Rattus norvegicus: one gene and its partner. The protein of the gene in region 2 purifies or fractionates together with the protein of the main gene of each other region. This does not show direct contact. Links are inferred from orthologs where the notes say so. Each region holds a gene or a part of one and is shown on either strand. Other genes may lie near its edges.

Region 1 (4,421 bases), on a different chromosome or scaffold from region 2:
TTACATGGCTCTGGAGCCTTGAATTCAGACTGTGCTGCCCGGTCAGCTAGAGAGTTCTTACCTCGTTGACCAGGACCCAGGGCACATACTCATGGGGTGGCTGTAGGGCATCTGTGAGCTGGGCGTTCTCATGCATCAGCTCTGTGCCTCGTTTTCCGGTGGCACACTCCATGATGCTTTCTGGTGACACCTCTGGAACATACAGCTGCAGGCACTGTGAGAAGAGGAGGACACATTGCTTAGTTCACTCGTTATTTCGCCATCAGTCCCCAGGTGGCCCCAGATAAGCCTCTCCCCTCTCACTGTCTGCCTGGGTGGAGGTTCCTTGAAACTGAGTCTTTGGGTGCTCTTGCCTCCCAGTAACACCGGATTTGCAGCCTCTGCCCCCTGGTATCTCATTATCTCAGGGCCTTCTTACAAGATCCCTCTGCTGGCAACACCCTGCTCCTTCCTTGGTGTCTCCTAGGTGCTCGTCCTCCTTCATTCTCCAGTCATATCAAAGGGGCAGCGCTGGAAATGTCCCTCAGGTTCGAGGAGGCTGGGCGGCCACAGTAGCGATTGGAGAGTTGTGAATCAATCTTTGGACTTGGACGTTATTTCCCACAATGCCCTGGCTTATCTCCTGTCACCTATCTTGTGTCTACAGAGAGTGAAGATCCCAGGCTCTGCTCATAGATCTAAAGGTTTTCCCGTATAAAAACTATATGGGCAAAGTCACGCCCAGGGCTAGGGTAGTGTGATGTGGGGCAGAGCCGCTGCCTGGAACCCCCAAGTGAGGGCCTGGGGGCGTGGCTCTGGGGTGGAACCCCTGCGCAGATACTGGAGACCTGGCTGCGCAGCCTCCCACGCACTAACTCACCGGGCCCAGTTTCTTCTCCATGTCCTCCATCTCCTCCATACAGACGATGGTTAGGAATGCCGCCTCCTTTTCCAGCTTGTCCAGCAGACAGGCCTGGAGAAGCAGGCAAGTGTTATGGGGAGAAAGTGGCCAACCCTGCCTCCCTCCATGGCGGATCTGCACTCCAGCTTACCTCCACCTTGTTCAGTTTACACTCCAGCTCCCCGTGCTGGCACGTGAACTCCCATGTACCGCTGACATTTCTCTCCTGCAAGATAAGGATAGATCTTGGTGAGCGCAGGTGACCAGGCGTTCCTGTCCCAAGGCATCCCTCCCAGCTTCAGTCGCTTCCCGCCCCCCTCCAGCACCTGTGCGTTCCCGTAGGGCACCAGAGTGATGTTCATGATTTCCATAACCATCAGCCAGGTTGGGAACAAATTTCGGACGAGGAAGTAGCGACAAGCTCCACACAGGGACTCATAATAGAGGCTGACATTGACAGGTGGTGCAGAGAGCAACCGGCGTGGCCCGAAGAGGCACAGGTCGTGGGCCTGAAAGGAAGAGAGGCATCTGGTGAGGTGCAGCCCGGGTCATCCCCAGGCTTCCGAGCCCGGTCACCCCTGCAGAGGGCAGTCCTATGACAAGTTGCTTATAGTTCCGTTCAGCCTTGTGGCACTGGGACTAGAGGTCTCTGCGCATGTGGGGTGAGCGGTCTCCTGATGAGCCACGCCCCGGCCCCTCTGAGGTTTTCTAGTCTCTAGATCGTGTTCCGCAATCACAGTTTATCTACAAAAAACGGAACCTGACAGGCTCTCAAACAGTAGGTGGTCAGTGAATGCACAATCTTTAACTATATTCAGGAAGTGCTAAGACATGCATATTTCTAGCACTTGGGAGGCAGTGGAAGAGCTCAAGGCCAGCATGGTCTACTACATAGTGAGTTCCAGGACAGTCAGCGCTACACTGAGACTCTGTCCCGTCAACAAACAAAACAGAAAACCAAACCTAATCAAAACAATAACAAAACAAGAGAACTAAAGTAAAAGAAAAATAAGATATACATATTTCTAGTTGCCGCTCTCTCTCAGCCTTGTCTGTTTGGAGATGCACACTCTGAAGCCAAATACAAGCGCTCGCGCCCTCCTCCCTTCCCCCCTTTCTCCCCCTTCCTCCCTCTCTCCCCCGTGCCCCCTCACTCTATTTATTCTTCCTCTCCAGGGACCCAGGGGAACTTCACCCAGTCTGACGCCCGACTAGACACAGGAGGTGACTGATGCGTACAGACTTCCGGTCCCCAGGGAGGGCGGGCCAGAATCTGAGCACCGCTCTAGGTGCACGGGGCATGTGTTTGCTCCATGTCAGAAGCTCGTTAGCCCTCTCTTCTTTGGCTGGAACGCACGCGGTAAGCGACAAGAATTGCGTGAGAGTGGAGACCAGACAGTAGCTCAACAGGTCTGGAGCAGAACACTCCCCTACATGCCGCGCGCGTGCCCATCCCTCAGCTCTTGACTCAAACATATACCGTAGGTGGTTGATAAATGCTCAGGCAAGGCGGGCAGGGGATAGCTGCGCTTTTCAGACCTAAGAGGGGAAACGAAGGACGTGGACACGGTGCTCAGTGTCCGGGGACTGGATTAGGGGTGGTGGCCCTGAACCTGACAACTTTCCCTGGAGACTTTGGAATTCCCCGAATGAGTTCACGGAATAAGTGCAGAGAAGTCCCTATGCTGACAGACTGGCGGGCCCCTTCCTGCGTCGTGGTTCCTACCTTGCAGGTGGCTGCGCCCTCGGAGGATCCTTGCGGCAGGGACGCAGTGGCTGCTCTGGGAACCTCGGGTAGGAACAGCAGAAGCAAAAGGGACAAGAATGGTACGAGCGGAGAACAGGACATGGCTGAGGAGAAAAAAGCTTGGCCAGGCCGGGGAGGCGGGAGACTTTAAGCAAGTGGATGCTCCACCCACTGAGACCACGCCCACACAGGTTCCTCCTAACTCTGGGCCCCCTTTCCTCAAGGCTCCGCTCCAGCCAGGTGCTAGCCCCAAATCACGAGGCCACAGGACTCTGTCTAGCCTTGTGTTCTCCGCAGCCAGTATGTCCGGTCACGTGAGGCTTTTGGATCAAGGGACGGGAAGGAGGACTCCAGACAATAACCGACCGAGGGACATAAGGCAGAGTCCTCATGTCCTTCCTTTGAGCTCAGTGGAGGTCGGGGAGTGATACAGACTCCTCACTAATTCTTACCCCCACCACTCCAGGTCAGAGCAAGCCAGCCCCGTCGGGCACATCCCCCGACCTCTGCTGATTATGGCCCTAGCACAGAAGCTAGCTCAGCCAGGGCAACTCCCCATCTCTGAGGTCCTGGGCCCTGGCTTGGGTTGAGGACAGAGCTGGGGTACTTGCTTCCAGCAACAGAGTGTGTAGGCGGAGATGTGCCTGGACTCCAGGACTCTGCCTCTTTCCATCAGCTGCGGTTTCCCGGCCTCTGAAATGGGGCACGAGTGACACAATGACTGTGGATAGTCACCACGAAAAAAAAAAATCAGAGGTGACCTAGGCTGGGACTGGAGCCTCTGCACCAAGTCAGATTGAAAGCTGAACACTGGGTCCCTGGAGCAGTGACAAGCCACAGAACAGCAGCACCAGCAGGAAAAGTTCCAGTTCCAAGTGTGAGAAACCCTGGTTTTTTGTTCAGGAGACAGCAAGCTAGAGAGGATGGCGATTTCCAGCGTTCAGAAGCTGATAGGGACAGCTACAGGCTGAGAGGCTCTGTTCTAACCAAGACTTGGTATTCCCACCCCGACCCCTCTGCAAGCTCGGCAAAGATCTCCCCTGAGCCATGCCCCCAGCCCCTCATTGGGAGATTCTGAGGGAGGGGTTCTGCCGAGACATGCCCCCAAGCACAGGTAACATTTGTTTTCCTTAATGTTGATTCGTGTCTCTCCAACTAACAAGCTTGTGGTTCTGCCTCAGCTTCCCAGGATCTGGGACCACAAGGTACTGTTTGTCTTAGGTCAGTCGCAGGATGCAGCAAAGACCAAGGCCAACTGAACCCCATAGGGTAGTAGGTCAGGGATGGGCTCTGTCCATTCCTGGCCTAGCTGAGTCCAAAGGTGCTCTCAGAAGATAGTGACACACTGACTGGTGCAGATGGGGGAGGGGGAAGTACTCAGGGAAGTAGTCACAGGCACAAGTCTTGATGTGTTCCTAGCAGGACTATTAGGTTTCCCAATTTTGCTAATGAGCACAGGCCCTGGGCTCTTTCAGCAGGTGTGCAGAGGGGCCAGACCTTGGCCTCCCCTCACAACTCAGGGAGACTAGGGACAGGAGACACCTGCCTGAGTGGCTGAGAGGTTGTTGCCACCTCTCTTCCCGATGAGGAAGTTAGGGACCACATGGACGTCACTTGAGGACAGACACAGCTGGTGCCTGCCTGAGCACCCTGGAACTGGGACACCAGAGGAGGGGCTGTTCATGGGTTTGGGGTTCTTCCAGGATATGAGTATGGGGCAGGGCCAAGTTGCACCGCTGTGCTGCAAGACCACGGGCATGCTAAAGTCTATGTCGTTCACAACATGGGTTAGGA
Region 2 (3,811 bases):
ATGAGAACAGTCTCTTCCAGTGTGTCAATGAGAACAGTCTCTTCCAGTGTGTCAATGAGAACAGTCTCTTCCAATGTGTCAATGAGAACAGTCTCATCCAATGTGTCAATGAGAACAGTCTCATCCAATGTGTCAATGAGAACAGTCTCATCCAATGTGTCAATGAGAACAGTCTCATCCAATGTGTCAATGAGAACAGTCTCATCCAATGTGTCAATGAGAACAGTCTCATCCAATGTGTCAATGAGAACACAGTCTCATCCAATGTGTCAATGAGAACAGTCTCTTCCAATGTGTCAATGAGAACAGTCTCATCCAATGTGTCAATGAGAACAGTCTCATCCAATGTGTCAATGAGAACAGTCTCATCCAATGTGTCAATGAGAACAGTCTCATCCAATGTGTCAATGAGAACACAGTCTCATCCAATGTGTCAATGAGAACAGTCTCTTCCAGTGTGTCAATGAGAACAGTCTCTTCAAGTGTGTCAATGAGAACACAGTCTCATCCATTGTGTCAATAAGAACAATCTCATCCAATGTGTCAAAGAGAACACAGTCTCATCCAATGTGTCAATGAGAATACAGTCTCATCCATTGTGTCAATGAGAATACAGTCTCATCCATTTTGTCAATGAGAACAGTCTCATCCAATGTGTCAATGAGAACAGTCTCATCCAATGTGTCAATGAGAACAGTCTCATCCAATGTGTCAATGAGAACAGTCTCATCCAGTGTGTCTTCACCCATCAATACACATCCTTTAGTAAATCTCATCAGTGACTACTTTTCTGTTCTGAATTTGTTACACACACTAAAATAAAGCAAACTAGAATTGGTGTTGGGATTTATAAAAAGAAATTTTATATTTAAAGAAGCCAGGAAACAAAATAAGAACTTGATGCACCCTGAGATGGTCCACTATTGGACCCTCTATCTCCTTCCTTGTCTATGTTGCTCTCTCTCTCTTCCTGCCTCTTCCAGAGAAACAGGAGAATCACACGGAAACAGACTTCATTCCCAGCTTCTACTGTCTACCTGTCCCCCTGAAAACCAAGCCAAACTGGGGCCACTAGAGCAGGGTCAGCGTGCTGGTCAGTGCTGGCATCCCCACAGTGGGGTCCCGGCCCCTCCATGTGTACTCACCGAGACAATCTGACTCCGTATTTCTTGCAGGTGATTCCGGAGAACCTTGATGTCCTTAGACCCAGATGCTCCTGCATCCAGCACAAACAGCTTATTTGAGACATGAAGGTCATTCCCAAACCTATGGCAAGAGCAGGAGTGAAATCAGCTCTCAGTCAACTTTAGGTCTTTCCACACAGGGGCCAAGTTCCTACTGGCCCTAATGGCCGATGGGAGGGAAGGAGGAAGGGTCGTGGTGACCCTGAAGGAGCCTCTCTGTCCCTGCTGTTGGGTGAATCCTGCTGGTCCCTCTGGTAAGTCATACCTGGTAATTGCACACCCTCAATCACATAATTGGGAGTCTGGGGTTTGAGCACAGGTAGAAGAAAAGAATGTAAATGTCAGAGCCACCTGATGCAGAGGCGTATGTGTTTACTTTCCGAGGGAGGGGAGGAAATACTGGTGGTGGTGCAGGGCTAAGATCACAAGCAGAATAAGAAAGTTACACATCTGACCTAAAAATGTTCACAAAAGACCACTTTGCATGGCGGAAGAAAACACTGTGTCTCTCACAGGTAATTCAACACCTGAGTGCCAGCATGCTACAGGAAGCTGCAAGTTCAATTTTGTGTTTTAAAGATTTGTTTTATTTTTTTATTCGTGTGTACACACCTCTGTGTATATACCACCTGTGTTTGGGAGCCCACAGAGGTCACAAGGGAACATTAGATCCCCTAGAACTGAAGTTACAGGCAGTTGCATGTGTGGGTGCTGGGAACAAATTTCAGGTCCTCTCGAAGAGCTGCCAGTGCCCTTAACTGCCAAGTTATCTCTCCAGCACCCAAGTTCAAACTTGTTGGTGGAGCCTTGAAGCCTGCTAGAGTTTGGATGAGGTCTGTCCTCTAGGGTGCCTGTGTTATAGGGGCCCTCTCCCCAGTGTGGTGATATGTGTTAACGAAGTAGTTTCTGTGGGACGTGTGAAGTATCAAGAGAGCCTAATCCCTAAACCTCTCTGAATTCCCACCCTTACATGCGCTCCACCATGATGCCACACACCGGGAAGTGATGTTATCCAGGGGACGTCACAAATGGGGCTTAGACCTCCCTCCTCCTAAGCTAAATACATCTGTTATTACCTACCCAACTTCAGGCATATCTTTACATTACCTAACATCACTAACAGATTCTAAACTTAAAGTTATGTTTTTATACTGCTTTATAAGAGAAACACAGGACTTGTATGATCGCACTGACAGGAGAAGCACTCCGATCTTCCCTATTCTTCCTGCCCCATTCCATGATGAGAGCAGAAGTCTGTGTGGAGGGTGCTGGGTGAGAACAGGAGAACTGTGATCTTTTGTGTCTCTCTGTGTCTAGAGAGATTTGTTTTGATGAAAATGAAAAACTCAACCAATGATGAAAGTTCCTTCAGCCACCACATGCCAGCCCACCCAGCATGACCACATGCCCTCTGCCCCATCATCTTACCGGATCGGTCATCCCCCAGGACAGATGCTCACCCTACCTCCTAAGAGGCTCTCCTCACCTGCTTCCACCAGCAGGCTGCCCTCACCTGTTCCCACCAGCCGGCCGCCCTCACCTGTTCCTGATCTCTTTCAGCAAGGATGTATCTTTATCATATCCAAACTCGCCCCCAGCAGGCCGAGGGATGTTCATGATGTCAGCATGTGTGGCCACCAGGACAACTCGGAGAGGGTTCTTCAGCTTGCCTCCAAATGCTGAGGGAGAAAGTATACCTTGTGAGAGTCTGATCTCTTCTCTGGCTGTGTTGGTCTCATGCCTAGACCACCTGTGTAGGTGATGTGTAACCTGCACACAGACTCAAGGGCTACATTATGGAGTGTGGCCTCTGGTCCTGGTCCTCCACAAGAGACCTCAGCAGAGATCAGAGCAGACTGCAACACAAAGAGTAGCTCTTAGGGGTGTCTTTAAATAGGCTTTGACATGCAGGCAGAGAATCTGCAACCAAAGTCAGCTTTCATGGTGGAGGGGGCAGCTGGGGCAGGGAGAAAGGAACCCTTCTGAATGTAGCCATACACCTGACACAGCCAAGAGAGAAGCTGTCTCTAACTCACACAGGCAGGGCCATTCCTCATAGAAGTGTTTCAAAAGAGATATGACAAGGGAGAAATAAGAGGCAAAATGGCTTCCTCTGGGAGGTCAGCCAGCTGATGTCATAAGCATGGGTTCCCTAGAGACAGAAGCTGGCTTCTGAACATCACCCTGCACAAAGACAACGAATACACTTGCAATAAATCTCACTGGGCCCAAAGTCCATTCCATCACCCTCTCCTCTAGCCAGTGTGCTGAGGCCAAGCCACTGCTCCTTTTCACCAAGGCTGCGTGGAGCTGCAGACTGAAGGGTAACCCTTCCACTGATGAATAGTTCAATACTCTCCAGAAGAAAGCAGGGGCCATGGATGGAAGACTCCGCTGTGCAGTCAGCAATGATGCCCTTAGCGCTGAATTGCACCAGAGGAGAGAAGTGGCTACCAAGGATGTCTCAGGACTGGGAGGAAGCCACAGCCAGGAGTGCCATTCTGTAGGGTGTGAGTGTAGCCAGTGTGACGACCTCAATAGAAACATCTCGGGGGGAAAGAAAGGACCTCACTCACCTATGGGTTCTTCAACTGAGACCAGAGACTTCAAGAAACTAAGCCAGAAAA

The links.
Region 1: the proteins of Dapk1 (region 2) and Ifi30 purify together in Homo sapiens (affinity purification with mass spectrometry; 3 studies listed by BioGRID and IntAct, counting the BioPlex papers as one, with this or other methods). This does not show direct contact. The link is inferred for Rattus norvegicus from reciprocal best matches to the Homo sapiens genes DAPK1 and IFI30.

The regions. Positions count from the first base shown.
Region 1 is NC_086034.1:18,708,073-18,712,493, reverse strand, and holds the start of Ifi30 (gamma-interferon-inducible lysosomal thiol reductase precursor), read right to left. Parts: upstream 2,925-4,421; 5' UTR 2,730-2,924; coding exon 2,607-2,729; intron 1,390-2,606; coding exon 1,207-1,389; intron 1,107-1,206; coding exon 1,032-1,106; intron 953-1,031; coding exon 860-952; intron 215-859; coding exon 62-214; intron 1-61. UniProt on the Homo sapiens protein: Lysosomal thiol reductase that can reduce protein disulfide bonds. May facilitate the complete unfolding of proteins destined for lysosomal degradation. Plays an important role in antigen processing.
Region 2 is NC_086035.1:3,946,315-3,950,125, forward strand, and holds part of Dapk1 (death-associated protein kinase 1), read right to left. Parts: coding exon 3,761-3,811; intron 2,864-3,760; coding exon 2,725-2,863; intron 1,267-2,724; coding exon 1,146-1,266; intron 1-1,145. UniProt on the Homo sapiens protein: Calcium/calmodulin-dependent serine/threonine kinase involved in multiple cellular signaling pathways that trigger cell survival, apoptosis, and autophagy.